4 linked regions of the Rhinolophus ferrumequinum genome follow. The protein of the gene in region 1 purifies or fractionates together with the protein of each later gene. This does not show direct contact. Links are inferred from orthologs where the notes say so. Each region holds a gene or a part of one and is shown on either strand. Other genes may lie near its edges.

Region 1 (7,364 bases):
TATCTAAATTCAAGTCTAAGTTCATTGCTAAGACTTTTAAGCACCCGTGTAACCTTAAAACTCATCACAAATCTCTGGTATCCACAAGTAAAACAGACAAAGCTACCTACCTGGCCTACTTCACAAAATGTTAGTAGAATACCATGAGAGGTCAAGTACATCTTAAAAAAAACAAAATGTGCTTTCCAAAAGTAGTCATTATTTCTTTCATAGTTAATAAAAAAAGAGAAAGATTTGGACCAGGACTTGAGCTCATACAATTATTGGCATATAGTCAGTCTAGTTTATTGGCATATACTTCTCTACCAGTCTAGTCAGTAGTGAGGGATGAGGATGATGGAAGATAGGCTTCATCACATTACCAAAAAGATCATAGTAATCAACAAAAAGATTGCTCGCTGACCTATCAGTACCAAGCAAAAAGGAAAAATTAACTGAATACATAGGAAAGCTAGCTAATATTTCTGGGAAGGTCAGCTTTGCCAGAAAAAATCATGAATGCATGATTTCATTTATTTTCTGATTTTGGAAAAAACCTACTTTAAATTCTACTTTCAAACAAGAAAATGGCATTAAAATTTTTTTTCCAACTGCGAAACAGATTGCTAGATGTATTACGCATGTATGCGCAAACCTAGTTTTTACCAGTAAACCTCAATGATTTCTGAATTCAGTTAAGAGACAAACAAAAATAACAGACTGAAGGTACATTTATTTTAAAGATCACCCCCCCAATCACACTATGTGAAAAGAAAACACAAAAAAATCAAAACTAAAATTAGTGAAGAGATTGATAAAAGACAAAATTACTGATATTGCTATATTAAGGTAAAAAAACTTATTAGTCATTCTTCAATAAATGAAATTGCTAACCACCTTTTTTCTAAGAATCTGACAGGACAAAATATGTTGGAAAAGAGTCAGTCTTAGAGCCTGACACAGGTTCTACCACAGGTTCTACTTAGCAGCAGCCTCAATTTCATCATCTAGCAAATAAACATACCACTGACTTCATACGGTACTTATCACGTCAATATTCATACTTAAACTTTAATTCAACTTTAATTTAAAAATAGCAAAATATTTAGGTTTTAAATTACTCTGCTTTTGATATTTAAATAAGATCTCTAGGGAGACATTGGTTATTCCAAAATTTTAATGGCAGACCCTTTTGAAAAGCCAGTGAAAACTATGAATGAACATCATTTTGCAAAGAATTGTGTGCATTTAGACACAATTTCAGTGTCACAGGTTTTCAAATCCCCTTAAGCCATGCATAGAGCAGGAATCCAAGTTAAACCTCCCTGGTAATCTAAAAGAACCATATAGAGCCTTAGAGGAAAAAAATAGGCAACGGTAGATAGGAATATTAAACAAATCTCAAACCACTGAAAACTACAGAATATCACATGTCCTAGTCCACTAAAACCTACCTCACCACTAAAAGTTCTTTCAAAAATATTACAACATGTTACTTCACCCTCAATTAGACCTTCGGTGACCAAACAAAACTATTGCGCCAAATACTTCAATGGTAAACTGCACTAACAATTCCTTATTGGGTTAATTCTGCATCAAGGCTCATTTTCAAAGCAGTATTACCTTCATTCTGTCTATCCAAGGATGGAAAAATCCCAGAAATCTTTGGGCTGCGACTATAAAATATCTCAAAACAGATCGAAGGCCAAGAATAAAATTTGGAAGAAGCAAGCAATCACTTTATTCAGACATCACAAAACCTTGGAACACACCCAAGAGACCCACCTGACAGCTCCCCAATCTTTCCACCTCCCCAGTACTGTCACCATCCTCTGGTCAACCCGTCCAGAAGGCAGGCTGGGCGGCGAGCAGTACCGATTTTCAAAGAAAGTCCAAGGCCCCCAAAGAGGAACTGCGTTGGACTGAATGCCAACCAACCAACTGTCCCTGACTTACTAATTCATTCACCCATTCATCCATCCCCCTCCCTCAAAATCAGATGGGGGTCCAAGACAGCTGCTGCAGCCTTGGTCGCCTCCCTCCCAACGGAACAGTGCCTGGGAGGGGCCTCCATTCCCTTCACTGGAGCAGCTGCGCCCAGCTTATCCCCACTGCGCACTCGGCCATCCAGCTCTCGCCATTGTTTTCTGCCAAGAACAGACACCGCCCCCGCAAGGACCAGGATGAGGAAAAGGAGGCCCAAGTCCTAGGATGCGCTGATTTTAAATCCCTTTCCCACCCCGCCCGTCTATCCCTCACTCCTCAGGGGCAGCTCCCTCGCCCGTCCCCGAAGTTTACTAGAAACTAAAACCTTGCTTCAGAGATGGAAGAGGGAATTATGGGAGTCTAGGAGGGAAAAAAACAACGGGTAGGTCGTTCTCGGCCTCAGTAATCAAGAACATCTGTTTAATAAGAGCATTCGAAGATTTGGCAAGATTCGCTAAAAATGTTAAGTGCCAGAAACCCATAGTCAGTTTGGGCAGGTTAAGCACCGGACGCAAGGGAGGAGCATCATTGCAGGTCCAAAGGGCCTGAGGCGGATCTGGGGTAGAGAGGACCCCAAAGTACGAAGTACGGCCCTGCGTCTGATCACTAAAATGCAGACAAGTGAACTAGCTCCTTCTCCCCACTGCACCCTCTCCCTGTGCCCAAAGCCACCCTTACCTCCATCTCCGAGTCAGCGGGACCAGCGCCGACCTTTGAGGGAGCTGCCTGGGCCGCGATGCCCTCGGGGCCGCCTTTGTTGTTGCTGCTTCCACTGCTGGCGGCCGAGACTGCGGGCTTGGAAGGCGCGCTCTCGGGAGGCGGGGGTGGCGGAGGTTCGGCCGCGGACATGATGTTCCGTCTGCGTCACCCGCTGCTGCCGGAGGCCGGGCGCGGCAGGGATCAGGAGGCCTAGGCCGGGGTGGCTACGTCTCAATGAACTGATGGAGGAACGAACCAATGCCTTCTGCGCAGCGGCTCCGGGTCGAGCCTGAACCGGGACCAGCAACCTCCTCGTCTCGTCGTCGTCCTCTTCCGCGGGGATCGGGTTCGACCGGCGCTTACCTCACGGCGGGAATCACGTTGACGAGAGTGGGCGGAGCCACCCGGGTCACTGAGGTCAGGAAAGGCGGGCTGATTAACAGGAGGGCGGAGGGTTGCGGGAAGGGGAAAAGGAAGCGAAGAAAAGACCGAGGCGAAGAAATAGCTTCGCGGTCCCGTCTTCCTCCGGTCAATATCATCTACCTCTCCAGCATCCAGGACAACTGCCTACGCCACCGACTTTCAACCCTCGCGAGATTGATAGTTGGCTAATAGACTGGGTTGCGAATGCGCATGCGCATCCTCTTCTCCTTCCCCTTGCCACGCCCCCTTCGGCCCCTCTCGAGGCCTGTACGAGAGTGGGCGGGGCCTCGACCGAGAGCTCTGAGACAGGTTTGTGCCTCGGCTCAGTGGCTTGACGCGAGCGCACTCTTAACGCGCTTCTATAACGGCTCAGTGTCTGCGGCCGCGGTGTCTTCTTGGCGTGGCCTGGGTTGGTGTCGCTCGCTGAAAACTTGCCCAGGTTTTGCATCACCTACTGAAACTTGGAGGACTGTGCTGGCTTTAACACTTCTAGTACCATGCTTTATTACAGGCGTGACGCCACAGCGTTGGTGACGTTATCGTTATCCCAAGTGATGTCTCAGTTTTTTGTCTAAGGAGGAATGCCCATTAGTTTGATTTATTTTCCTCTTAATTTTCACATTTTAGCCATAACAATTTCTCAATACCTTCTACTTCGATACAAAGAAGATATTTCCTCTGAATTTATATGCTGAAAGTAAACAAATTGTGTGTATTCTACCATGTAAAGTGAGAAACATGAGTAATCAATAAATAAGGAAGCGAGGCCCTGGGTTGTGTCTTTTCCTTAACCACCAAGCAGTAAATGAAAATGTACATTCTCCAGGCAGCTGGTTGGCTCAGTTGGTTAGAGTACAGTGCTCATAACACCCAGGTTGCGGGTTGGATACCCACATGGGCCACTGAGCTGCGCCTTCCACAACTAGATGAAACCAATGACTCCACAATGAGATGGAAAACGAAGGCTTAACTTGGAGCTGATGGGTCCTGGAAAAACACACCGTTCCCCAATATTCCCCAAGAAAAAAGAAAAAAAAAAGTGCAGTCTCCTTAAGTGTGAAGAGATAATCAGTACTAATTATTTGCACAGTCTGAGGCTCTCTGAAACCCAGCTTTCTGTATCCAACTGCTATAGAATTTAAGTCCATTGTATGCAATTTGATTACAGATGTGCATATTACAGTAAATCATCTGCCCTACACAGGTATTTATTCATCTTTGTATCCCCTTGTCCAGTATTTTATCAGTGTTTATTAAAAAATGGGACACATTTTTGAGACTTAAGGTTTAAGCTAACTGGTTGTTTAACTAGAATTTCAAACAGAAGGGATCTCCTTTTGAATATATAGCTTACAAATTTTTAAAATAATCTAATGATAATTCTTTAATTGAGGTGTGGATAAATGTCTTCCAGCCCACTAGAAATGCTATTTCTGAGATTATAAGGAATATGAAAAGATAAATACAGTGGTATCTCAGTTTTTTAACGTAATCCATTCCAGAAGACCGTTTGAGTTCTGAAATGTTGGGAATCAGCTGACAGGTAGGCCTCAGGATCTTGCACTCAATGGAAGCTGCATGACATGTTCAACTTCCGAGGCATGGTGGTAATTCAAAGCATTTTCTTCCGGGTTGACGGCGTTCGTAAACCGAAATGTTCGTCCACGGAGACGTTCAAAAACCGAGGAACTACTGTACCTGCAATCACGTTCATAATAGTTTTCACATTGTAATTGCAAAAATCTAATAACAGTCTGAATCCAACATTGAAAATATGATTTTAAAACTATTGCACACCGGAGTGGCCAGATGTTTCAGTTGGTTAGAGTGTGAGCTCTCAACAATAAGGTTGCTGGTTCAATTCCTGCATGGGATGGTGGGCTGCATCCCCTACAACTAAAGACTGAAAACAGCAACTGGACTTGGAACTGAGCTGCACCCTCCTCAACTATACTGAAGGACAATGACTTGACTTGGAGCTGATGGGCCCTGAAAAAACACACTGTTCCTCAATATTCCCCAATAAAAATAATTAAAATACCCCCAAAACTATTGTACACCCACAAAATGAACAATTATTAATGTAGAAGAATGTTCATTATATAATGTTTACTGAAAGAAGTTTAATAGTTCAAAAATATAGATGAAAATTTGGGAGGATATTCATAAAAAGTATTGAAAGTGATTGTTACTGATGTGTGATTTTTGCTTGTTTATATATTTTTTTCTAAGATAAATTTGTGTATCATGTTGAGAAAATTTATTTTTAATATTAAAAAATGTACTTTCACCAAAAAAAGATGGTGTGGAAAGGGTGGAAGGGTAAAAAGGTAGTGTCTAGGGTGGTATCTGATGTATAGACATTCAATAAATAGTTGTTGAATAAATATTTAATATTCACATTGTTAAGTAGAAAGACTATAACACTTATTTGATATTCAGAATGTTTCTTCACTCTTTATAGTGGTAGGTGCTGGTTTAGAATCCCTAAAATTATACTGAAGTATATAAATGGAAGTTTCTTAAATATGACAGGTATTTAAGGAAAGCAATAAATAGCAAGAAAAGCAATAAATAAAATTGTCTCCAAAATGGCAATTGTCTTTTAACGTGTGTATTTACACCATAGGTTTCTCATATGAAAGCTGTATAGGAATCTTAATGGGGAAAATTATACAGGAGACATACTTAGAACAAAGGAGGAAGCGGAGACAGTATGTTGGAATCCACTAATCTAACTAACATCAAGAACAGAGAAATAAATTTTGAGGATGATCTAGAAGCAGGAAGTGGAAAGAAGAGCTACAGAAAAGACCAGACACCTGGAAACTGAGCTACAGGGACATTAGCTGAGTTAGGCAGATGTAGTACTTACAGGGTGGTCAAATCACAACGGCCTATTTTTCTTCAACGACTAATAGGCTAAAACTAACAGGTAGTTCTGGAATTGATAGCATAATATAGGATTAATGTGGTAAGAGAGTAGGCTGGGGAGTTGGGCGAGCCTACGTTCCAGTGCAGGCTCCAGAATTTAGTAGCTGTATGAAGTCAGGTAAGTTATATAACTGATTTGAAATCATCTCATCTTTTTGTTATTACAGGCATACCTTGGAGATGCTGTGGGTTCAGTTCCAGATGACCACAATAAAGCAAATACCACAATCAAGTGAGTCAGATTGGTTTCCCAGTGCCTGTAAAAGTTAAGTTTTTTTACACTATACTGTAGTCTATTAAGTGTGCAATAAGTAGCACACTTTTTTATGTCTAAAAAAATAATGTACAGAACTTAAATTTTTTTATTGCTAAAAAATGCTAACCATCATCTGAGCCTTTAGCAAGTCAGAAATTTTTGCTGGTGGAAGGTCTTTACCTCAATGTTGATGGCTGCTGACTGATCAGAGAGTGGTGGTTGCTGAAGGTTTGTGTGGTTCTGGCAATTTCTCAAAATAAAAGAACAATGAAGTTTGCCTTATCAATTGACTCTTCCTTTCATGAACAATTTCTCTGTAGTATGTGATGCTGTCTGATAGCATTTTACCCAATTTTGAACTTCTCTCATAATTGGAGTCAATCCTCTAAAATCCTGCTGCTGCTTTGTCAACTAAGTGTATGTAATATTCACCATCACAAATATAACAATGAAAAAGTTTGAGATATTGTGAGAATTACCAAAATGTGACACACAGGCATGATGTAAGTAAATGCTGTTGGGAAAATGGCACCAATAGGCTTGCTTGACACTCAATTTGTAAAAAATGCAGTATCTGTAAAGTGTGATAAAGTGAATTGCAATAAAACAAGGTATACCTGTATATTATCCCAACTTTATATAATATTCTTACAATGATGTCATAAGAATTACATGAGATTGTGCACGTAGGGTGTTTAATACGGTGCCTGACATAGACTGAGCTCTTGGTTCAAGTGTTAGATATTCTTATCCTGAAAAATCATAAGCCTAAGTAAAAGTCAGAGTCTAGTTGGAGGAAAGGGAACCTAGTGGTTTTTTAATAAGGAGAAGGGTAAGGGGAATAGTGTCAAGAAAACACTAGAAGGAATTAGTGCTATAAGTATGTTCCCAGAAATAGAATGCTAATGTGAAACCATGTTAGTGTTTTATCTCAAATACACAAATATATATTGTTTATACCTAAAATTCCTACTTAGTGTACTAGAACAGCGTGTGCTATACTGAATAGAGTGGGGCAAAGAGATATTGCTGGAGGACAAAAGATGCTAAAGAGCCAGGACTATCTCAGCATTTTGGCCTTGAATGG
Region 2 (7,656 bases), on another chromosome or scaffold:
AGTCTTAACTGCAGGTCTGTGAGCTCTCACTCTCCAAGTTACCCAAGTCCAAGTCGCCTCCTGTTGACTTCCCTCTCTGTGTGTCGTATCCCATCCGACCTAATCCCCTCAGGTTGAAGGAATCCTCCACGTGATGGGAGCTGAACGCCAGGTACTCACCATCCTGACCTTCCCTGCAGCTCGACCCTGTACTCAGCAATCCCCCTCGGCCTTCGAACTGGAAGCTAGCAGTGCTGTGGAGCAGTGCCCAGTGCCCAGGGGGGTGATGCTGCCAGGACAAGCTGGGCCTGGTGCCCGGCAGTAACAGCGTGCTGTCCTCACTAGTTCTGTAATCTGATTTTGGACACTTCCTGGTTGCAAGCCTCAGAGCCTGGTTTTGGGGCACTCCCAGAGATCCTGTGAGCTTAAAGGACTCAGCATGGGTTTCTGTGACTTGCAACCAAGAACCAAACTGATAACAGAAATTGGAATCAGAGTGGTTGTAGGCCATAGGTCTCAGGGAAATGGGGTGGGCGTGGTCTGTGACTGTCTAGTCTTTTGAGGGTGATGGTAAGGAAAATGCATCTAGTGTTGAGGTATGAGACTTAAACACCCTATATCAACTAGTGGCAAAACAATTCAATGAAACACCCGTGTCTTTTGGAATTAAAGGCAAGTCTTTAGAAGAGTGAGTGGCTGTAAGCCATAGAACTATACTGGATGTGAGGAATTCAAGGACTGTGGGGTGCGGTGGTTTCTGACAGTGCTGGATACTTGGCAGCTCTCTCTGGATTTAGAAGACTACATATACCACATTGGTATGTGCTGCTTTAACCCATTTTCCAAGTGACCTGAAAGCTTGCTAACGTTGAGCCACAGCACAGAGCAGGAGAAGCTTCTTCAGCAGGTCCAGGCTGCATGCACGGTGCTCTGCTGGTTGGTCCCCAGGACCCGGTGTATCCAGTGCTCGGTGTGCGGCCACATGCTGGGATGCAGTACAAAGCCCATGACAAGCCCCCCAAAGAGCATCACTATGATTGTACTCAGGGTTTCAGAGCAAAGCCTGGCTCTCTTTGGCTAATAACCACTCTCCTTTTTATAAACTGTTCTTAAATTGCTCCTGGGCCTGGACAAAGATTGGAACCCTGACCACAGATTACCAGGTGACCATGTAACTTAGTTGGCTTATTATGAACTGTCTTATTAAGTATCTTATTAAGTATCTGTCCCACTTAGCCATAAAATGCCCTGTAGCAATCCCTTCCCCAAGAAGACATGGGATATAGAAGAGCAGCTCTGAGTAGGTCCTGTAGAAGGCACAGGCGTGCAACTCCCAGTATGTTCACTCTCATTTTACTGGCACCCCTCCCTCAATTCACATTATGGAAAACTCCCATGACCAAGTGACTAAGGAGGACATTTGAGCTTGGTTTACAGATAGTATCAGCTGGGAGGGGACTGCTAAGGTGTTATAGCTATACTTGCAAGTGGCCTTGCAAGGGCCGTGGGAAAAGGAAATCTTCCCAGTGGGCAGAGCTCTGAGTTGTTCTCTTACGGTTCTCTTCGCCTCAAGAAAGACTATACCAGTTCATGGGCGAGGTGGTCAGGGATTCAGGTTGGTGAAAAGGAGGTTTGGGCGTGGATGTAGGTGAAACTCTCAGAACAGACCTAGAAAGTGAGAGTAGCTGTGTTCTGTGTGAATAGTTATCCTAATGTTCCCACTGCTGAAGATTTAATGTTAGGGGACAAGAAGACCCATCCTATGGAAGTAGGTCCAGCTCCTTCCCTAGTCAGGCCAGTGTCTGCTGACTGGGGTCGTGAACTGACGACGATCATGGGCTTCTCCTTGGCAAGGCTGACCTGGCTATTGCCACTGCTGAGTGCCCATTCGGCATTCATCATTATAGTGGCTCCTTGCTATCCTGGTGGGTACAGTGAATCAACCTCATTGGGAAGAGGATTTGCTTTTCCCACCATCCTACGTGAGTTTACTGAATACCTTGTTTGCCGTCATGGTATTTTAGACATCATGGCATCTGTCTCAATCAGTTCAGGCTGCTATAACAGATATTCCTAGCCTGGATAGCTTATAAACATTAGATATTTATTTGCTACAACAAATTACCATGGACTGGGTCTTTTCAAACAACAGACATTTCTTTCTCACAGTTCTGGAGGCTGGAAGTCTGAGATCAGGGTGCCAGCCTGGTCGGGTTCTGATGAGAGCACTCGTGCGTTGCAAAGGGCCAACTTCTCACTATACACTCATGTGGCAGAGAGCAGGGAGGGAAGGCAAGCTCTAAGCAAGCTCTCTCCTGTTCTTAGAAGGGCATTAATCCCATCATGAGGGCTCCACCCTCATGACCTCATCTAACCCTAATTATTTCCTAAAGGCCCTACCTCCTAGTACCGTCACATTGGGGAGTAGGGTTTCAACATTGGGGAGTAGGAATTTGGTGGGGGACACAAACATTCAGTCCATCGGACCACAGCACTAACTTTAGTGAAAGAAGAAATTGGCTGTCCTATCAGATTCACTAGCCCCATTGTGGACCCCAATAACCAGAAGGAGCTCACTTTACGGAAAAGTAGAACGGCCCATGGAATACACAGCTCTTGAGTCAGGAGCAGATAACAGCTGGAGAGCTTGGATCCCCTTTATTGTTGGAACCAGCAATTCTGGAGGTGTCCATATCCTTCTCATGAGTTTCTTTTCTGTTTAGATGAGCCAGGGTCACTTTCTGTTGCTTGCAATTAGAAACTCCAAATAATATACCTTTCATTGTGCCATCTGTCATAATTTTTTCTGATAAACAGGTTCCTCCACTATTAGTTTGTGAACACAGAAGGCTGTCACCATTTCTTTCTAGTATCTTCCCTATGGTACACGGCACTACATAGTGTAGGACACAGGTTGCAAACTTGTAGACTCTGGGCCATATATTTGAACTGCATTTATTTTGATCAATCCGAAGTGTTTATAAAAAATTGACCTAATGGCCAACACTTAAAAATCGTGAGATTTCATATGCAGTGCACATTTCCACCTTCTCTTGAAAAATTTGACGACCTGGCTATTTTAGGCCCACATTCCCACAACTTCCTTCTTAAAACAAAACACAGGCACTTCCATTTGACAAAGTTTTCACTCACTTTATGAAATTTCATTACTTACCTGGTCCCTGAAGGCGTATGTTTGTCACCCTTGGTGAAATATATGGAATAAATTAATTTAGCAATTAATGCTTGTATTTTCATTTCATACACGCAGAGTCCTTTCTTTCTAATGACTAATAAGCCACTTAGTGATAGGGAAGAAACTTGGGTAGTCACATATATCAGTAAATATTGTTTATAAAACCTTTCTTATTTAGAGTTATCCTTGACCATGGCGAGCTGAATGCCCCGGGTTTGGTTGAGGGGGTGGCTAAAAATTCATCATCTTGATCAGTCCCCTGGGCTAAGCCGAGACCTGATGATTTCTCAGGTAAAAAAAATTACTTCCTGATAACACAAACATGCATTTTGAAGTAGGTTTTAGGCAAGAAGTCACCCTTTCTACTACTGCAAACGAGAAACTGGGAGTTCTTGCTGAGGTGGCCGACTTTCTAGCCGGGGTCCTGGGAAAGGTGGGAGGAGACTGGGACGTAGCTGGCGTTCCGGAGTTTATCCGAGGCTTTTCGGGTGGGGATTCTAAACTAAGGAGTCTCGGAGTGACTCCCTGTGGGTCTGGCGGCCCAGGGCGTGGTTCCTGGCACAGCCCTCCAGCAGTTGTCATTGGGATCAATTTCAGGACTCCAGAATCAAGCCTTCGGAGTTTCACATTTCTGGGGGCTCGTCGCCCCGTCCCCCTCTTAATTTCCCTCCGTCGCAGGACCTGCTCTATCCCCCCTCGGTCCTTCTAGTTAACCCCTCTCCCCCCGCAATACCCTCTCTGGCTCTTTCAGCATCAGTTCCCCCATGGGGGCGGGAGGGGGATACATTTGGGGGTTCCCCTTCCCTTCCCTCCGAGTCGGAGACGGGGGGAGACGCGGGAAGGAGGCCCTGCTAAATTCAGGCTCCAGCGGGGGCTCCGTGGAGGCAGTCGTCACCGAGACCTTTGGCGCGGGACACTTCGCGCGGGGGAGCGCCCCTCGGGTCCGTGCCGCCTGCGTCTGTGGTGCAGCCGCACCGCGCGGAGGCGTCCCGGGCTCCCCGCCCCCGATCCGGCGCTCCCGCGCTCCCCCTAGCGGCCGCCGCGCGGCCTCGCTCCGTCCCAGGCTCGTCGGCGGCGCAGCTCACGTGACCGCGCTCCGGGCCTGCGGCCGCTGTCGGTTCCCCCAGTCACCGAGCGAGAGGGAAGAAACAAGATGGCGGCTGAAGGCGATCCGGAGTGGGGCCCCAGCAATTCGGATTGAGCCTTCTCCCTCCACCCGCTTCCGCCGGCCGGGCCCCTCCCGCCCGGCCCCGCGGGCCTCCCCACCCGGCCCCGGCGCCCCCCACCGCCACCCCTCCGCCCGCCCCTCCCCCCTCCGCTTTCCCTTCTCCCCCCGCCTGGGCTCCAACATGAGGGGCCGGCGGGGCAGGCCGCCCAAGCAGCCCGCGGCTCCCGCTGCGGAGCGCTGCGCCCCGGCCCCGCCGCCGCCGCCTCCGCCGCCGCCCACGTCCGGACCCATCGGGGGGCTGCGCTCGCGGCACCGCGGCAGCAGTCGGGGCAGGTGGGCCGCCGCCCAGGCTGAGGTGGCGCCCAAGACGCGGCTGAGCTCGCCCAGGGGGGGCAGCAGTAGCCGGAGGAAGCCGCCGCCGCCGCCGCCGCCGGCCCCCCCCAGCACCAGCGCCCCGGGCCGGGGGGGGCGAGGAGGCGGGGGCGGCAGGACGGGGGGCGGGGGCGGCCACCTGGCCCGGACCACCCCGGCCCGGAGGGCCGTCAACAAAGTGGTGTACGATGACCACGAGAGCGAGGAGGAGGAGGAGGAGGACATGGTCTCCGAGGAGGAGGAGGAGGACGGCGACGCCGAGGAGACCCAGGATTCGGAGGACGACGAGGAAGATGAGATGGAAGAGGACGACGATGACTCCGATTATCCGGAGGAGATGGAAGACGACGACGACGACGCCAGTTACTGCACGGAAAGCAGCTTCAGGAGCCATAGCACCTATAGCAGCACTCCAGGTACCCACCCAGCCCCGTTGCTGCAGACTCCTTCCCCACCTCCTCTACCCTCCCCCTCTACTCACTCCCTCTCTGGTCTCCCCCACCCTCACCTCCCCCCCAGCAGAGGGGAAATGCGACGGCACATCCAGTGGCAAAAAACGAGATTTACCAGAGGATAGAGGCGCATTGTTCAAAATGGAGATTGCATTGTTGCAGTTTGCAGGCCACACACTCGCTTGCTCTCTTTCTCTACCCCCAACCCCCTCATTTTCCTCTTCAAAATTTGTGCCAGTGCAGTGTCTCCATCGGGCAGGATTGAAACTTTGGCACACATACCCATTGCATTCATTTTTCTCCCCCTTGTTTTGGTTTGGTTTTTTTTTTTTGGAATGAAAGAAGCCTCTTGTTTTGCAAACCTCTTTGCATTTCTAATGTGGTTTCTTTTAGCTTTTTATTCTATATCTGTTCCTTAAAAGGGAATTGAGGATTTAGACAGGTTGTGGCACACAGACATACACATACAACATGTTTCTCTTCACACCCTAGCACACCGTGTGGTTTTAAAATCGTGTTGAGGAAATGGATCAGTTTGGGTTAGTAGGGGACCCTTATCTGGTCCTGTGTGTTTGTTTTTATTGAGTGCTAATGGGCTCGTGCAACAGTTGCTGGTAAATGGCTGATTAAAAAGCAAAGCAGAAAACCAAACAAAACCAAAACAAACGTGGTAATTCACCCCATTCAAAGTCATTTTGGGAAAAGCCAAAATAAAAGTAAGGAAGCACGGGAACCTGTGTCTTAATTAAGTTTGATCCCATTGCTTTGCCTGGGAAATGCAGTTTCGAGTCACCTGTTGCAGGAGATGTACAGTTGATCATGCAGACACAATTGCCGAAGATGAACTTTTGGACCAACTTCTAAGTCACACCGCAGAAGGAGGGGGATTTATTAGAAAACGAATTTTTTTTCTCATTCCTTTTCGAAGGATAAAAATCCTCCCTGGATCTGTAATGAATTTCCCCATGGTGACTCCTCCCCTATTTTCTCACAGAAAGTTTCTCTAGGCTGGTGCTGAGATGCGTTTTTATTTTTTAAGCCACATGATTGCTGCTTTGTGTTAAATACATGGTTGAATCTTACTAAATTGTGAAAAAGGCGTAACTTGTAGCAATAACCTACAAGATTTTTTTCCTTTATATTTTTGTTTATCTGGATTAACTAAATTAGAACCCAGTTTTAAGAGCATTTACAAAGTAAAGTTTTTGAGGAAATAGGATCTTAAGGTGTGTCATTTGTTTTTTTAAGAGAGACTGCGTAGTAGAATATAGCTGCTCGTGCAGTCAATTTAAATATTTCCATTTTCTATAAATGATTAAATATTTATTGGCGGAGTATGATGATTAAACCAGGTGTAGTTCCATTTAGATTGTCTTAACAGCAAATGAAAAAGGTAATTTCTTTTGCCAGACAGTAAGAATATCTGCCTGTCTGTGGAGTGGGGGTGTTGGCAGGAGAATGAAGGGAATGAATCAAGTGTCAACTTTTTTTGTCTTGTCTGTAGCAGGGACGATGCCACTTTTCATTTCTTGCCAACTTAATTTTAGTATGTCATTTATAGTAATAGTTTTTACTTTTAAGAAATCACATGTGGTCTTCTGTACCAAGAGCCCAGAATTGAAACCCCTGGAAACTGAATTACATGATCCCAGGCAGTTTTTTTTCAGGTTACACAGATATAAGGTGTTTTGGCAGGGCAGTTCAGCTAATGTTAACTTCTCTTTGAAGGCCTAGCAAATTTAGGATTGGTAGCCATATGTATGCTGAATTAAATTACAATTTGTGTTTCCTTTTTTAAAAAATACTTGTATATTTGTGTACTTACATGACATTTTTTCTTAATGACATTTATAGTTTATCTTGTGTATACTTGTCCTATCTTTATATGAAATTAAAGATTATACATCCTTATATTAACCTTACATCCCCTAACTTTCCTGGCGCAGTGTCTTGGCATGCATGTAGCGGATGCTCATCAAAGATTGGTTGGATAAATGATTGTTAGTAGGTGAGAACTTGTAACAGATGAAGTTTCGATAATGCTACAGTGGATACCATAACTCCTAAATGTTTTGGATTTGGGAAACTGAAAATTGGTCCTGTTAGATTTTGATAGTTTGATAGTTTGAAAATTGGTCCTGTTAGATTTTGATAGTGAATGTTTTTGTAGCAGAGTTAGTGTGTTTTGAGCTGCTATTTCATATTGCTTGCCAGGCATTTTCCTTTCTTCATTGGATGTGATATTAACTTGTTGGTTGTTTTACTTTTTGAGACATTATTTCTCAAGATCATGGTAGAAGGGGTGATACATTTTGTGTTTTAAACTTTAAGAATGTATCCACTTTCCTACAGTGAGGAACAATCCATGACAGTTGTTTTGGCAAAGCACTAATTTCATATGTTTTTTTGTCTGTACTTCCAGACAATAAAGGCTGGGAAGAAGGCTGTCAGTAACGTGTATATGTATGTATGCTTTGGAAGCAAAAAAC
Region 3 (8,117 bases), on another chromosome or scaffold:
GGTCTTCAGACAAATACGGAAGAAAAACATTCAAGATAATGCACTTAAAGGATAATCTTCAAACTCACATAAACCAATTGGTGATTCAACGAATGAGTGAAAACTGAGGTTTTCTTTATAGTTTCTCCAGATGTGTGCTAAGGGTTAAATTACCAGAATACTGCAGACCACCATATAATATCCACCATGAATACACAGTATTTTAGCAGATCTCTTTGTAATCATCTGAGAGAAAGATAAAGTAACTCAAAATTTAAGACAATGAAATGGCAGTCTTATTCCAATCTTGCCAATTCAAAATCAGAAAGACTAATACCTAAGAATATCAGTAGCTCTGCTTGTTCAGAGTAAATTAAATATCTTTGCTCCCAAACCAATCGCCTCTCCTGAACTGCTTGCAATTTCCCCAAACCCAAAAAAAGTCAGCACAGAGGGGGAAAAAAATTATTTTTTTAAATTTAATGTCATAATGCTACAAAGGACACAGTTCCTTAATATTAATGGAAAGTAGTAAGACTTGGATTACCAAAAATCTCTTCCTTTATTTCAGCATTTTGAATTTCTCCATGATTATAGTAAATAATCAAGAACCAAAGTACACGAAAATTGTTTAAAAAAGGTAACAGCCATGTTCAATCTCTCTTCTAAAGTGAGAAGGGCCTCTTAAAAAAGACAAGATTGCTTATATCAAAGGCGAGAAGAGTTTGAAATTTAGGCCCATTTCTTATTTTGTTGGCACTCGTATTTAAATACAATTTTTTAAAAATTTGGATTACTAAGATTTTAATTTAAACTTAAAAAAAAAAGATATCATCCTTGTCTAGTTACCTAATCCAAATTCACTTAAGTAGTTACAAGAGTGAACTCTATTTGAGTAACAAAACAAGTCTGTACAGGAGCAGAGTAAGATGTACACTCCTATTTAAGAAGTACTGTCTGCTAAAAAACTTCTCTAGATATAACATGTTTGTGTGTAATTTTCTGTGGAGCTGAAGACAAAGAAGGCTTACTTAAAAGCTTACAGGAATTGACTTTACTAACTTCACTATGTATTCATTTCTCAGACAGGTGCAGTTTTGACTAAAGCTCTCCCTCGATCAAGCCCCCACTCAGAAAAGGTGCCTCTTACACACAATTTATATTTGGTTGCTGTAACACTTGGTTTCTAAGCCACAAAAGATTCCTTCTCAGTGGAGAGAATAAAGCATAAGAAAAGGGGGATAGGGGCTAGTTCAGTGATTGATCAATTCAGGTTCTCACTTGGAGAAAAACTGTGTTTAAAAACGTATCTCTAAAAACACCCAGTTGTTTAGTATCACAGGACAAGGGGATCCCTTGGGATAAACCAGGCAAGAGACTGAAAATGTAGGGGTTCAAACTACACACGCAACAGCTCCGGATTCTTATCAAAACAATAGCGAGTGGCACATGTCAGGCGGCCCACATGCGCAGGGGGATAAAAGAGACTGGGCTGAAGCTGGAGTTGAACTTGTCTTAACCCCCTCCCCCCAACCCCCACCGCGGCCCACCCGGCTACTCGAAAGTGAAAACGAGGGGCACCCAGGGCTCTGCTCTTTCCCCCTCCTCTTCCCCCGCCCAGCCCAGACTTCTTCCTCACCCGGTTTCCCGGAGGCGGAGACGCTGAGTTCCCCGGGGCCGGGAGTTAGTCACCAAGAAGAGGCGGTGACAGAGCGCACGGCTCGCGTCGTATACCCCGAGGCCTAGCCGCACGAGACAGGAGGCCGCCGACAGAGGGTCGTGTCCCGGGCCCCACGGCCCCCAGCGAGGCCCCTCCTTTCCTGACTCTCAACTCCGCTCCCCCCCCGCCCCTACCCTAGGCAGCTCCAACGTCAGGTTCCACTCCCGACCGAGAAAACGACTCCCAGCCCGGCCGTTTCCTGCCCCCGGGGGCGGGGATTCCCTCCCCAGGCCGGGGGACAGCGGCCCCGTGCTGCTGACCTGAGCGGGGATCCCCTCTGCTGCCGGGCGGGGATCCCGGAACTGGCCCCGAAGTGCGCGTGTGGCCGCGGCGGGGAGGGGTGAGGCGGGGAGTTTCCGCCGCCCGACTGCCGGGCGGCAGCCGCTGCTAGAAGCGGTCCACACGGCGGGCCAGCGACCCTAGCGTCCGCGTCCCCGGCCCGCTCTCCCTACACGCACCTCGGCGGGTCGTGCCGCCCTGGAACCCCGCGCCGTCACCGGGTCGGGCTCAGAAACGCGGGCCTGAGGCCACCCGTCATTTTCTAGTCGCCCCGCCAGAAGCCCAGAGTTAGGAAAGGGAGGGGAGACAAAAGGACACTGGGGAGGGAGTCCCCACACTCCCTCGCACCCCCCGCGCCCGGCCGGGCCCTTACTCGTAGTGGCGGAAGATCTCGTTGGTGACTTTACAGTAGAAAACTTCCTCGTCGGGCCGCAGGTCCGCGGGCGGCTTCTGTCTCACAAACGGCTTTCGGTGTAGCAGCGGCATCTCCCGTCCGCCCGCGGGCTCACCCCGACCCTCGGCCGCCCGCGTCGGCCCCGCTTCCCTATCAAAATTGGAGGGAAAGGAAAGCCGGTAAGGTGGGGAGCGCTCGGCGGCGGCATGGGCCGGTCCGCGCGCCGGGGAAGCTCGACTGCCTTTTGTGTGACTGACGCGCCGCGGCTGCCACCGGAGCCGAGGTCGCTTCGGTCGCTGCCGGGGTGTTAAGCAAGCCGAGCCGCCGCCGCCTCTGCACTCCCAGCGCGCCCCACCTCCGCACGCCCGTTTGCCGGCTCACAATGGGGTTGGCCGCCCCGCCGCTGGCGGGCGGTGCGGGAGCGGCGCCCCCCTCCCCCAGCGCCGGCTCCCGGGCCGCCGCCGCCGCCGCCGCCGCGGCGGGGCTCACAACGTGCTCGGCGCGGAGCCGGCCAGCCCGACGCCGCAAGGGAGCTCGCTGCGGGCGGACCCCGGCGCCCCTCTGCTTTGTTCGCCCGCTCGCTTACACTTCCCTGCCGGCGCCGGCCGGCTCCTGAGCGACCACACGGAGCCCCTCACCTGCGAGCACGCCTACTGCCACTTCTCCACCTTCTCAACTACCGAAGGCAGCGAGGGGAGGCTCTGTCCTCCTGGGGGGTCGCTTCTCGCCGGCCCCGCCGCGCCCCCGGCCGCCGCTTCTCCAGCTGCCACGGCCTGGCTCTGCGCGGGGGATCGCGTCCCACCGCCACTTCCCCGCCTCTCGGAGCTCCTGGGAAGTTTCTGATCTACTTTCGGCTCAGAAGGAGGAAGAGCTGTTGGGAGGAGCTTTTCACTTCTCGCTTCTACCTTTTTATTGGCTACTCGATGACTTTTACAGCTTGTCACTGATACAGGAAGAGACGGCGGAAAGCCTGGGAGAGCTACATTATTAATTAATGGAGCAACCCCTTGTGAAGAATCAGAAGCATCCTCCATGTTTGAGATTATCAGCCAAAAGATCTAGGAGAAGCGCTGGGGTTTCATAAACACATGGCTAACAAACTAAAGCCTTCATCTTCAAGCCTGGTACCATCGCTTGGTTATATGAGGGGGAAATGATTACAATTAACATCTAACTTGTATTTTAAACATAGGAAGAGAAACGAGGAATAAGATAAAAAGTATTTTGATATTTTATTCAAAATTAGAATTCTAGTGTCTAAAACAATATTTTGCTTGTGTAAACATCCATCTTGAAAAAGTACCTTACTTGACAGCAGTTCTCTTTAATACTCAGAGAGGGCAATTCAAAGATTTAGCAGAGGAAAAGATCAAAAAAGTGTGTTAGAAAATGTCATCATTGGACCCCCCACATATTTAAAACTAAAAAACACACCTTTAAAAAGTTGTATCTAGAATATGCCCCTGAAAATATTTTGCAAAGGATCAATAGTTAATTAAATCACTTCAAATTTTAAAGATGGATTTACTAGTGAAATTTCCTCTAAAGAAACTTTACCATATCTATAATTTCCTTTTGTGAAACGAATTTTAATACACATAATACATGTGACTTTTAAATTAAGAATTTTCAAAACTACAAATAACTCCAAATGTTTGCCAGCTTTGTTTTAAATGGTCTTTTTTTTTTGCTACTGCCCTTGACAGTTGCTTCTTTGCTGATTAATATGAAAGAATGAGTCTAAAAGACATTAAGTTTGAAGAACAGTCATTTAACAAAAGGATGTAACTACCAATACTGTGAAATGACCATAGTTACAGAAAAAAATTGGGATTAGTTTGGTATCTTCAAATTAAGTGCATGTGTCCATTGGAGCTGAAAATGTAATCTATCCAAATCTCAAGAATTATCATTTTTTAACTTCTTTCAAGAACCCACAAAGGTAGACTCAAAGGGGGTCAAGGAGGATGGATGATTTTTAACCACTATTGAAGCATCATTCTCACAATTCAAAATCCCAGCTTAACTATTAAACTAAAATCAGATGAAATTTTCTCTGAATATAATAATATTTGTATTTCTTAGATCTCACTATTTGATAAGCTGTTAAAGTAATTTTGGTAACATCATGATCAAAAATTGTAATGTTGATTTTTTCTTTTATTAAATACAGATTTTTAAAAAAAACAGAACATGACTGTATTTCAATACACAACTTCTATACAATTAACAAATAAAACACCACAGTAAAATAATAGCAAAGAACATGGCATTTCATTTGCTTGACAAATGGCTAACAGCTTTAGTCAGTCATATATGAGCTCTTAGACAATACAGATTTTTAAACAATTGGATTTTTTTCTACTAACTTAAAATTGAAATTTTATTTTACTTCATCAAAATACTATCATACTCAATTTCCCTCCTACTATACTCAAATTTCAGTACTATCATAGCTCAGTTTTCTGAGTTACATATATAGGATTTATTTAAATGTTTTGTGATATTTAATAAATGTTATACGTAGTTGTTTATTATTAACTCAGAATAATGTAAGTTTAGTAAATTATAATTAACAAAGTTTAGTTTTGATGTGTATGTAATACTGGATCAAATTGATAGCATACCTAAGCTACCTCAAAATAACACTTCTCTTGAAGTTATCCTACACATTTACTACTAAAAGCTTACCTAATACATTATTTATTTTGTATTTTGGTATCATGATTATGTCCTTGCTTTCTTAATTACTACTTCTAGACTTTTGAGACTGAAAAGCTTATTGCTATATTCAGAAAGTAGTTAAAAGATACTGTTGTGAAATAAGAGTATGAAATAAGACTGTGTAAAAAACTTGGAAATATTATAAAGCAAACTGTGAAAGTTACAGTAGCATAGAAAAAAGAGAAGACAATGAAATTTAAATTATTTTTTTAACAACTTACTCAAATATTTATCAGTCTCCTTTTATGTGCCAAGACTGTACTAGCTCATGTAAGGGATATAATATAAGTATCCTGGCCTCAAAAAATGTATACTCTTGTAGAGGTGATGTAAAGACAACCAATACAAGAATTGTGTGCGTCCTAATGATCATGAGTAACATAATGCAAAAAGAGAAGTAGAAAAGATTAGAAGAATATGTAGAAGGGGGACCCAGAATTGGTCCTAAATGCAGGCATCACAAGGCATGATTTGAAGAGCAATAGAAAGCTCATGTTCCAACATACCCTCACCAGTCTCAAGATGCACATACCCCCCCCCATTAGTTAGTTACCCCTCTGGGTGAAGACAACAATGGCCCCCAATTAAATTTAGAATGTAAACATACTAGTTAGACAATACATATATTAATCTAATATCATCAAGGCATAGTTTAATGTTCGAAAAGGTATAGGTAAAGACAAAACAAGACTATGAAATAAGTATTTTAAAAGCTAGAGCTAGAATACTTTTCCTGTATTCAATTGACTGATTAAGAAAGACTTAGGTGACTTGGCGAGACACCTGAAGGAAACCTTTGGGAACTCTTGTTTCTCTCATTTTGCACCTGAAGAAACTGAAGCTCAGGAACTGGTATCTTGATCTCCTGACTCCTTGTCCACACTCTCTAAACCAAGTGTCTCTTTCCTTGAATTCGGTAATATCTAATTATCTTGTATATCCTACTTACACTGTACCTATAAATAAGCTACAGTACCATTCCAAATACTTTCTAAACTGGTAAAATGTGTAAGGGGATAAGATATATTACTCATGATCAGAAATAATATTTTTTTTGAGAGTTATCCAGGAAAACAATGGGGATAATAGGAAGCTTAAATTTATTTAATTGAACAGCTGATGAGTCCTAGCTCCTTTCTTCAGCTAACACATCTAATAGATAGTATAAATACTTCATGTCCCTTACCTCTAAGTAGCAGTTATAAAAGTATTTAGAGCATAGCTTCCCTGAGCTCTTCTGAGAAAGATGTCTTATAAATATATACGAGGAATATCTTCAACTTCATAACTCCTTTCCTCAATATCTCTGACACCTGTCTCAACACTTCTGTGTTCTCCTTTTAATGTCTTCCTGATTCATGGCATTTTAACTATGAAAGATTTCTATATGTTTCTTTAGTAGCAATGAATATGTTTCTCTTCATATCAAACCTGGCCTAGTGTTAGGGTAGTGATTCTAGATCTTAGCTGCCCATTGAAATCACAAAAGGGGTTTTTGAAAAATACTGATGTATGGGTCACATCCTAGACAAATTAAAACAATCTCTGGGGTAGAGACCCAGGCATTTGGAGTTTAAAATTCTACTTGAGTGATTCTAACGTACTGCCATGGTCAAGAACTACAATGCTTAGAGGAGATTGGATTGTTAGTGCTGAAGTGGTAATGTTGGCAAATTTGGAATGCATTTTTTTATTCAACCCCTTGTGATTAAAGTCATGAGTTATGGGATGGTAGTAGGGGTTGAAAGAATTGTCTATGGCCATCATTATGACAGTAATAGTTTACACTTAATGAATGCTTCCAGCTTGTCAAGCATTATGCTAAATGAATCATCTCATGGAATTCTCACAGCAAACTAAGTACGATTTAGCATCTCCATTTTACAGATGAAGCTGTTGAGGCTCAGAGAGGTTAATTAACGTCATACACTCCAGAAGGAGAAAAGCTCAAATTATCAGCTCCAGAGTCCTAACTCCTTATTACTATTCTATATTTTCATGGGACTGGCTTGCTAAATAGCTCAGATATAAATTGAAACAAGGAACTTGAGCCTATGCACTAAACAATTTAGACTTGTAATGATTAAGAATGTTCGTTAGTCATCAAAGTACTACAGGAAACCATGAAGAACTTAAGAAAATTATCTGAGTTGGGAAAGCCAAAGTATAACACAAAGTCCAGAATCCATAAAGATAATTCTATAAAATAAAAATAAATATTTCTGCATTACAAAAGCTATCACAAACTAACTTGAAAGACAAATATCAAACTGGGAAAATTATTTGCAATTCTCTGACAAAGGGCTAAGGCTAATTTCCTAATATATAAATAATTTGCTATTTCCCTATTATATAAGTAATAGTAAAATCACAGTAACTGAAGAAAAACAGAAAAGAAAATACAAATGGCTTTTAAAACACATAAAAAATTCTCAACCTCACTAAAAATAAGAGAAATACAAACTAAAACTACATTGAGATGACATTTTTCATCCTTCAGATTTGCAACAGGCACATCCTTTATAAAGGGCATGCAGTGGAATAGTATGGAGATATAAGAAAGAATGAGGAAGTAAAAAAAAAAGCTACAGAAAAAAATATGTATGGGATTTTAATATATACATATTTGCTTGATACATAAAATGCATCTGGAAGAGTATATAGGAAAATAACACACTGGTTGCCTTTAGGGAAAGCGTTGCTAGGGGACAGGGATGAAAGGGAGACTTCATTGTGGAAAGATGAATAAAATTTTTTATGATACAGAGATCAAACGGTAAAGAGGCAGGTCAGGACAGATAGCTGATGTAATAAATTATTTCACTTCACAATTGGGAATAAGTTTAGAACTACAAATAAAAAGTAAAAATGTCTGTGCTAAATATTTTACAGGACTTAGCATAGTGCCTTTGCCATGACAGGACTTCAATATGTATTTGTTGGATGGATGAATGGTTAGATAGATATAGAAAATACAAGTTTAATTTGATTACAGTGAAAGAGTCAGATGGATGGCTGCTT
Region 4 (8,069 bases), on another chromosome or scaffold:
GGTCCCCAGCATGGCCCTGGACCTAGGGGCTGGCTGGCTGTGTAGCTATGACCCCTGAGTTGGGGATGGGGCAGTCCCAGCAGACCTGAGTCATCCATTTACTTAGTGTGGGCCAGGTGCCCCCAAGTCTGACCTCCGGAGGAGTGGAGAGGGCAATGGGCAGCCTCAAATGTTCCCTCAGCCCAGGGCCTCGTGAGTCTGGAAAGGGTGTTCTAAGGACCCCCAGATCACTGCTATAAGTTGATCTTTACTGAGACAGCCACATAGCCTGTTAGGGCAGTGGAAAAAACCATAGCCTATCTCACCCTCGGTGCAGTGCTGGGAACAGAACAGGTGCTCAATTTATATTTATCAAACATATCTTAGGTCTGGGCCCAGGCTGCCCCTCCAAGGACTGTTCCAGACCCAAGGGAACTGTTGTGACGGGGGATGGGGCTCTATCTAATTGCTCACAGGGCTCCATTCAAGGGCTGTACAATCTAGGTCCAGAACCGTGGGTATTTGGCCTGCCAGACACCTCTGCCTGGTGGTCCAGTAGAAGTAAACAGAGCACCTTGCCCCCTAACCTACTCTCCTTGTTCAACATCCTGTATGTAGAGGGAAGGGAGACACCTCCAGCTAGTCTTTACCACCTGGTATCAAAAGGCCCTCCTCCCTCCACTCCTCACATCAAGGAGTCATTACCTGCTAAAACCTCCCCTGTGCTCCTCCATCACTGTTCTGCTCCTGGACCAGGCAGCAACCTCTAAATTGGCCTCCCTGCCTTCCTCCTTTTAATCCATTTTCCCACAGCAGCCTGTGGTATTTACAAATACAATCCGATCAATTAACATCTCATGTTAATAGATGTGAAGGTTTATAGGGCACCAGTCCATGTGCCAAGCCTGTATTTCATACCCAATGCTTCTTGCCAGGCCCCGGCATAGGGACTCCAGCGCCCCCCTCTGTCCTCAGTTTACCGCACTGCTCCTATGTTCCTGTGTGACCACAGGGGTGCCCCTTTCCAGTCCTTCTCTCCCTATGTCTGTCTCACCACTACACACAGCCAGGATGAGCTGCTCCAGCCCCTGCCACTAGCCACACGTGGCTATACTTCTTGCTTCTGCACCTGCAGCTTCCTTCCCCTTGTGCACACTTCCCCTCCGCAAATGACTGACTCTTAGTCATCCTTGAAGACTCAGCTCAGGTATCACCTCCTCCAGAACCCCTTCCTGACTACCCTCAACACTCTGGCCCCTCTTTATCGCATTACGCTCTAATCGCTGGTTTCCTGGTCAAGTCTCTTCCAGAAGACTGCTTCTGCCTGGGACATACACCCAGCTTGACACAGTGGGGGCTCAATAACCCCTCGTGGACGCCTGCGTTCATGAATGAATCACTGAGCCAGCAGGGAGAGCAGGAGGCCAGAGCATGCCGGCAGATGAATAAGGCCGTGGGCCAGCCATTCATTCTCTCATTCATCTCAAAGCCCCCCATCCGCTACAGTCATACGCGCCCAGGCGTGCGGGGGTCCGGGGGCGGGGAACGGGAAGGGGCGGGGCTCGGGAGGCTTCTCCGGAACCCAGAGGCAGAGTCCGAGCCCGGCCAAAGGGCGCGCTGGGTGCCTGGGTCCCGGAACCCCAGCCTCTCCTTGCAGTCCTCACGTTACCCGCAAGTAATCCAAGTCTCCACCAGGCCGAGCCCTGGCGTCATCGGGTCCTGGGACCCGGCACCGCCCGGGCCAAGCCGACCCTCAGCCCCAGCGATCCCCAGGCCCACGACCCCCGCCTCCCGCACGGTAGCTCTGGGCCTGGCTCGGCGCCCAGCCGCCTGCCCTTTCCCCCATCCTGCGCGCCAACAGAGGCCTCCCGGGGCCACGCGTCTGCTGCCCGCCCCGCGCCCGCGACCAGCGTACCCACCGGCTCGGCTCTTTGGGTGCGCGGGCGGGGGCCAGGCTGGGCGGCGTGGCCGGCTCTGGAGTCCGCGGCCCGGGCACGCTCTCCCCGCCCAGGGCCCGCCCGGGGCCGGGCCGCTGCCTGTCGTCATCCCAGGCTGGGCCCAGACCCGGGCGCGCGCGCGCACCCTCCCGCCCCGCCCCACCCCGCGCCGGCGGGTCCTGGCCCTGGTCCTGGCCCTGGTCCTGGCCCTGGCCCCCGTCTGCGTCCGCGGAGACTTGGTACTACACTCGGCAACCAGCTCCCGGGAAAAGGCGCGTCACAGTCTCTGTCTCTCTGTCACACACACACCGGCTTCCAGGGAAGACCCAGCCCACTCGCTGCAGCGCTGGGTGGGTGGGTGAGTGCGTCTGATAAGGTTCCTTCTCATCCTAGGACCCCTTAGCATCCCAGAGCAAACCCGACCCTACCCTGCGTGCTGGGCCAGCTCGGTTCCACGTTTGTGACTACCTCTCGCACTTCATCTCCGTCCAGTCCACACCACTGCTTTGAGCTGGCCAGTCCCAGTTCTTTGGGAATGGGGAGGCATTAACCAAGCCTGTATTACGCCACTGGAGAGCTTTACCTGTACAGGTCCTTTGACCTCAGAGCAGCCCAGTCACCTAGATGTTGTTATGCCCAGTTCATAGCCCAGCCTATTGAGGATCAGGGAGCAGAAGAAGGGGTTCAAACCCAGATTCCCCACTTTGAAAAACCCTGCTTCTAGTGGTGCTTAATAGTGGCGCTTAAAACCTTACCCCTCCCTCCCATTTACCCGTTTTGTCCAGTCTGTTCCTGTCCCACGGAGGAGCTGAAGCCCTCCCCACTGCTCACCTCTTTCCCAAGGGGTTTGCGTGAGAGAGGGCTGCTGGGCCCTGGGCACACACTGCCACCCTTCCTCCCAGTCCAGAACATCCCAGCTTACAAGCTTGCAGGGCCTGTGGGGATGAACCACACGGATGATCTCCCCGGTGGGGATCAGCTCCACTTGCAGTGCCATTCCGCCTGTGGATAGCCAGCGTGCTGAGCACCGGGGCCTCTGAGCAGAAGCCTGCCTGCCTGCCCACTGGCTCTGGCTGCTCCTGGAACCAGGAATTTAGTCTCACGCTGGGATGGTCACTTGGTTCAGCTTCAATTCTAGCCCCAGGGGATGTGTCTGGTCCAGCTCCTCAGGACACAGCTGGAGCAACCCAGGTCTGATTGGGAGGCCTCTTGGCCCAGCCGGTTGAGGCAGGAAGAGGAGGGGCTGAGGGATGGAGGAAATGCCTGTTGTCCCAGGTAACCAGAGCAGCTGATGCAGCCACCAGTGGGGGACCCTGGGCTCCAGGTCAAAGGATAGGAGGCCTCTCCCTCTGCCTACGGACTGGTGTCAGCTGGAGAGCAGGGTGATCACTCCCCAAACCAGAATGCATATCCTGCCCTAAACCAAGAGGATCCATCGGTAGGCCCTGCCCCTCCTGCAAGCCCCTCTGAGTTTGTCTGCCTTCCACAGCAGCAGGTGAGCCCCTTGAGTTTGAAAGGTCAGGGCTGCTGGGGGCAGGCCTTGTTGGGCAGAGGGGGTTCACTGGAAAGGCAAGGGCGCTGTGAGGAGCCCCGTCCCACCCTCCTCTGGAGCCTCAAACTCTTGGCGTGGGAGGTTAGTCCCTGGGTTCCTTGGCTGTGGGCAGCCTTAGCCCTGTTCAAGCCTTACTTTTCCATTAGCACCCTCAGGTGCCCCCACCCTGAATGTTCCTATTTTTCTATCTTTATTATAGTTGCTAAATCACAGCTGACACTTTCTTGGCCTGGGGCTGAGCCCTTGGGTCTCCAGCCATTCCTTATAGGAAGTGAGAAGGGGGAAGTGGATGGGAGAAAGGAACCCTCCGAAGGGAAATGCTGGCATAGGAGGGGTGGAGTCCAGTGGCCTGCGCTGGCCTTGACAACCCCTTCCGCAGGCACCTTCCCCCAAGCACCCTTCTCTTCCCTACTCACAGCTTCCCCCGCCCCGGAAAAACCAGCAAAGCTTCCTTCCTTCCTCCGGGAAGCACATCTATCCAGGGCAGGCTCATCCCCGGCAGCCACACAATGGCCCTTATCAGCCCTGGAGCCAGGCACAGAGACCCAGCACACACCAAGTCTCTCACATTTCCTGTTTCCACCCAGCGGGTCAGGGCTGGGCCCAGAGCGGCCATATCCTGACTGGAGCCAAGATGAGGGAAAGCACTCCCCCTTCCCCTTCCCGCCTCTCAATCACTGCTGGACTCACCCCTGCCAGGCTGGGAGGGGCTCTGCAACGGAGGCAGGAGTAGGAATGAGTGAAGACTGAAGAGGGAAGGAGAGAGGTGGGCGTGTAGACAAGCACACTCCACACGCAGGAGAAATGGGACCCTGGAGACAGGAGCCCTGAGACCCAGCCCCAGGTAGGTATAATAGTGTTGCTCTGGTTTTTTTTTTAACAATTGTTCTCTCACAATAATCCTGTGAATAGGTACATTATTTGTATTTTACAGACAACTGAGACTCCTGTGTTGGTAGAGATGGAGATTCCAAACCAGGTCTTGACTCAATTCCTGTGTTTCTGGTCCTGCATGACACCACTGCTGCCTGTGTAACTTCAAAAGGATCACACCATTTCTGAGCTGTGGTTTCCCTGTCTGCCAAATGAAGGGTGCTATGTGGCAGCACCCATGATGGTTATGTATGTGAGAAGGAATGAAGTGGCCAAGTGCAAGGGATGAGGGTTCCTCAGGTGGGTGTGTGTTGGGAGCAGGGATAGAGGTTACCGTGGGAACTCTGGGGTAGAGGGGGTGGGGGGCAGAGGAAAATGATGGCATTTTTGGATAGCTTAACCCAGGACCTATGCTCAAGACTCAGGCGTGAGGGGGTGGCAGCTGAGGCGGGATGGGCCAGTGAGAGCAGAGTAAGCACCTTTTCCGAGAGCTGTAGTTCTAAGCAACCCATTCTATTTAGCAGCAGAGTAAATTAAGTGCCTAGTTAAATAGGTACCGTGTTTCCCCGAAAATAAGACCTAGCCCGACCATCAGCTCTGATGCGTTTTTTGGAGCAAAAATTAATATAAGACCCGGTATTATGTTGTATTGTATTATGTTATTATATTATAAAGATCCGGTCTTATAGTAAAAGACCACCAGGTCTTACATTAATTTTTGCTCCAAAAGATGCATTAGAGCTGATGGTCCGGCTAGGTCTGATTTTCGGGGAAACACGGTAGCACGCCTCACGTGGGCCAGGAACCCAGACACTCATCCCATTGCCATCCAGGCGACACCTGCCACTCAGACACAGGAAGTCAATCTGGATCTACAGGGCGCTCGTCCTGGAGTCCAGCAAGGGCCCGTCACCATGTGCCCCCCCCATCAAGAAGGAGTCACACACAGGGTAAAAGCCATGTTTCTAATTATCCCCCCATGTTAATACACAGAACACAGCCATGGACCACCGGAAGCCAGGGGACAGTTCTTGGAACTTAGAACTGGAGTGTTCTTTAGTCTTGGGTTGTAGGATTGGCATGAGTCACAGAGTAGGCTCTCTGAGGTGTCTTCTCCTGGGAAAAGGGCCACCGAGCCACTAGTGGCTGCAGGCAAGTGGTAGGAGCAGGGACAGCCACATCCATAAAGCACCTGGAGAATGCTCTCTAAAGACCCCCAGAACCAGATTCTCCAAAACGTCTTAATTCCAGCTCTCTTGTCTACCTGCCCCCACTTCTAGGTCCCGGAGTCGTCTAGAGGGAGGGCAGGTTTCTGGCTAGTGACTACAGGCAAGGATAGAGCCAGATGAGGTTCACTGAGCAAAGACCACCCTGGAAAAGTCTGTGGCCATAGCTCTTCTACCACCTGCCAACCCTTCACAAAAGGGCAGGTTGGGGGCATGGAGCCTGACCCACCAGCAGAAGTGAACCTGGGTCCAATGCTCTGCTCAGGCCCAGGAATTTCCTAGGTCAGATCCAGGGGGGGCAGGAGGGTGCAGGCAGAAGGACAGTCATAAACCTGCCCACAACCCCTACTGAAAAGCCTGGGTAGAGGGGCCCCTCCATCCTGCCCACTTGGTCCTACTGCTTCTGCTCAAATCAAGGATCCCAGACCCTCTGCCCATTCCTTAGGGAGCTAGGCAATGAGATGCCAAGATTCCTGGAGGCCAGTGCTGTTTGCACCAACCAGTCTATGGAGCCTGTACAAGTGTGAGTGTCTCCGCCTCCCAGGCAGCCTGAGGCCCAGGATGGCGTGATAAGAATGCAGGCCTGTGCCAGATGGGGCATGTGCCTGGCAGGCCTGCTTGGGCAGGGCTGGAAGTGTGTGTGTGGGGAAAACCAAGAAATGAAATGCAGGCTGCAGGGTCCTTGCCACATCCGGTGGACTGTCCCCAGGTCTTCACTGTTGACAAACTAGCTGGTTTCACTTACGTCTCAGCAACAAAACCTGTATTTAAGTGGCCAATTCCAGAGATTTGGACTGGAGAGAGCACAGGAGTGTGGCCACAGCTCCCCCTGGGAGGTGAAGGATACTTGCTGCCTCCTCAAGGGGCTGGGCTGGGCCCCTAGTGCTCCTGACAGTGGTGAGCAGAGCTGGCTGCCAGCTTTGGCCTCCGCCCTGGATTCCCTCTCATCCCAGCTCAGATCTGTGGTTGGGCTTCACCCAGTGGGTCCTTCTCCAAGAAGGCGTGAGGCTGGATCTGCAGGGATAGAACAGGCAGTGAGTGGAAGGGGAAAGAGCACATTTTCCTCCGCTGTTCCATCACTCCCATTCCCCAACCGCTGCGGCTCCAGGTACGGGTTGACTCCTCGGCCCTTGGCCTCGGGGAACGGATGAGGGGTTCTGCGTACCCTTCTCCTTACCCCACCAGCATGCCTTACCTTGAAGGGATTGCTTATCCCCACCACAGAACGTAGATTGTTGCTATAATAACACAGGAGAAACTGGTCCTCAGTCTCAGGGATATCACTAATGTTGATGTACACCTGGAGGGGAGGATGGACAGGAATGGGGTCAGTTCCAAGCCTGGGTCCCACCCAGTTCTCAGCCACAAGTTATCCAGCCTTCTGTGTGCTCCAGAAGACAGAGGGGCGCTCAGGCAAGCCCAGCTGCTGGAGTTGTGGAATACCTAGGTTAGGAAGGGGGGCAGGTACCTGGTTCAGCTTGTCACTGAAGAAGACCTCGTTGTCCTTGACCCAGACATAGCACACGTAGTCATTAATGTGGCGAAACCCCACCTGTGGGAGGGGGGAGCGGGTGGTCAGTGGTCTGGGAGTACCCAGGACCTACGGCACATCCTAAGGAGAGGACAGTCTCATTTCTAGGTCGGGCCATCATGCTGTATGCCCCCTCCCTTTCACTGCCAGCCCCTAGGTGGGCAAGGACCCTGGGATGAGTAAGGGTGAGCTCTTCAGTCTGTGCCCAGCTCCTGTGAGCCCTCAGGATGGATAAACCTGAGGCTGTGGCAGAGGGACTCCCTGTCATGCCCGTCACATCACCTTGTACAGTCCAATCCAGTCCCAGGAGCTGCTGATGAAGTCTGGGGTCAAGAAGTAGCTGATCAGCATGTCCTCCATGGTCCACAGGCCCTCGGGCACCAGGGTAATCAGCGGGACACATACCAACGGCTTCAGCTACACACGGGTGAGAAGGGGGATGAACATACACAGCATCCTTCCCTTCTCTGAGACAAATGGCCTTACGGTGCCCTTCTAACAAGCCAGGGTCAGAGCAGGGAGGAGGGCACCAGGGCAGTGGGCACAGCGCTGCTAGGCTGCTCTGAGAAAGCAGCAGATCTTGGCTGGCCAGCTGGAAAGAGAAAGGGCAACACTTGTCTGGGGTGGCTGCCCAGTCAGGGAGGACTGGGATGACGGCTGGACGGGTAACCAAGTAGAGAGCCCAGTGCTGAGGGGTGAGGTGGGGAGAGAATGGGGGGGGGTGCTGACAGGTTTAAGAAAGAAGCCAGGTAGCTGCTCTTAGGCCTCCTGGGTTCCTGACCCAAAGCCCCAAATTCAGTTTGGCAGGGGGACGGTGCCTGTGGTGAGAACGACTCTCGGCATTCTCACCAAAGAATGGTACAAATGGGAACTAGGGAACAAATGGTAAACGGCAGACAGACCAGTATGAAAAGGTAAAGGCTGAGGGCAGCCAGCAGCTCAAAGGTTAACACTGCCTTGGTCATTAGATG

Evidence for each region.
Region 2: the proteins of SMARCA5 (region 1) and BPTF purify together in Homo sapiens (affinity purification with mass spectrometry; 4 studies listed by BioGRID and IntAct, with this or other methods). This does not show direct contact. The link is inferred for Rhinolophus ferrumequinum from reciprocal best matches to the Homo sapiens genes SMARCA5 and BPTF.
Region 3: the proteins of SMARCA5 (region 1) and BAZ1A purify together in Homo sapiens (affinity purification with western blotting; 8 studies listed by BioGRID and IntAct, with this or other methods). This does not show direct contact. The link is inferred for Rhinolophus ferrumequinum from reciprocal best matches to the Homo sapiens genes SMARCA5 and BAZ1A.
Region 4: the proteins of SMARCA5 (region 1) and MYO1C purify together in Homo sapiens (affinity purification with western blotting; 3 studies listed by BioGRID, with this or other methods). This does not show direct contact. The link is inferred for Rhinolophus ferrumequinum from reciprocal best matches to the Homo sapiens genes SMARCA5 and MYO1C.

Annotation. Positions count from the first base shown.
Region 1 is NC_046301.1:17,881,543-17,888,906, reverse strand, and holds the start of SMARCA5 (SWI/SNF-related matrix-associated actin-dependent regulator of chromatin subfamily A member 5), read right to left. Parts: upstream 3,222-7,364; 5' UTR 2,815-3,221; coding exon 2,644-2,814; intron 1-2,643. UniProt on the Homo sapiens protein: ATPase that possesses intrinsic ATP-dependent nucleosome-remodeling activity.
Region 2 is NC_046304.1:43,234,068-43,241,723, reverse strand, and holds the start of BPTF (nucleosome-remodeling factor subunit BPTF), read left to right. Parts: upstream 1-4,326; 5' UTR 4,327-4,524; coding exon 4,525-5,131; intron 5,132-7,656. UniProt on the Homo sapiens protein: Regulatory subunit of the ATP-dependent NURF-1 and NURF-5 ISWI chromatin remodeling complexes, which form ordered nucleosome arrays on chromatin and facilitate access to DNA during DNA-templated processes such as DNA replication, transcription, and repair.
Region 3 is NC_046289.1:83,112,235-83,120,351, forward strand, and holds the start of BAZ1A (bromodomain adjacent to zinc finger domain protein 1A), read right to left. Parts: upstream 3,407-8,117; 5' UTR 3,011-3,406; intron 2,523-3,010; 5' UTR 2,465-2,522; coding exon 2,352-2,464; intron 1-2,351. UniProt on the Homo sapiens protein: Regulatory subunit of the ATP-dependent ACF-1 and ACF-5 ISWI chromatin remodeling complexes, which form ordered nucleosome arrays on chromatin and slide edge- and center-positioned histone octamers away from their original location on the DNA template to facilitate access to DNA during DNA-templated processes such as DNA replication, transcription, and repair.
Region 4 is NC_046304.1:16,396,544-16,404,612, reverse strand, and holds the start of MYO1C (unconventional myosin-Ic), read right to left. Parts: upstream 3,122-8,069; 5' UTR 2,914-3,121; coding exon 2,839-2,913; intron 2,037-2,838; exon of another isoform or gene 1,899-2,036; intron 1-1,898. Other genes in the region: INPP5K (inositol polyphosphate 5-phosphatase K), read right to left, coding at 6,522-6,581, 6,763-6,867, 7,036-7,119, 7,381-7,515.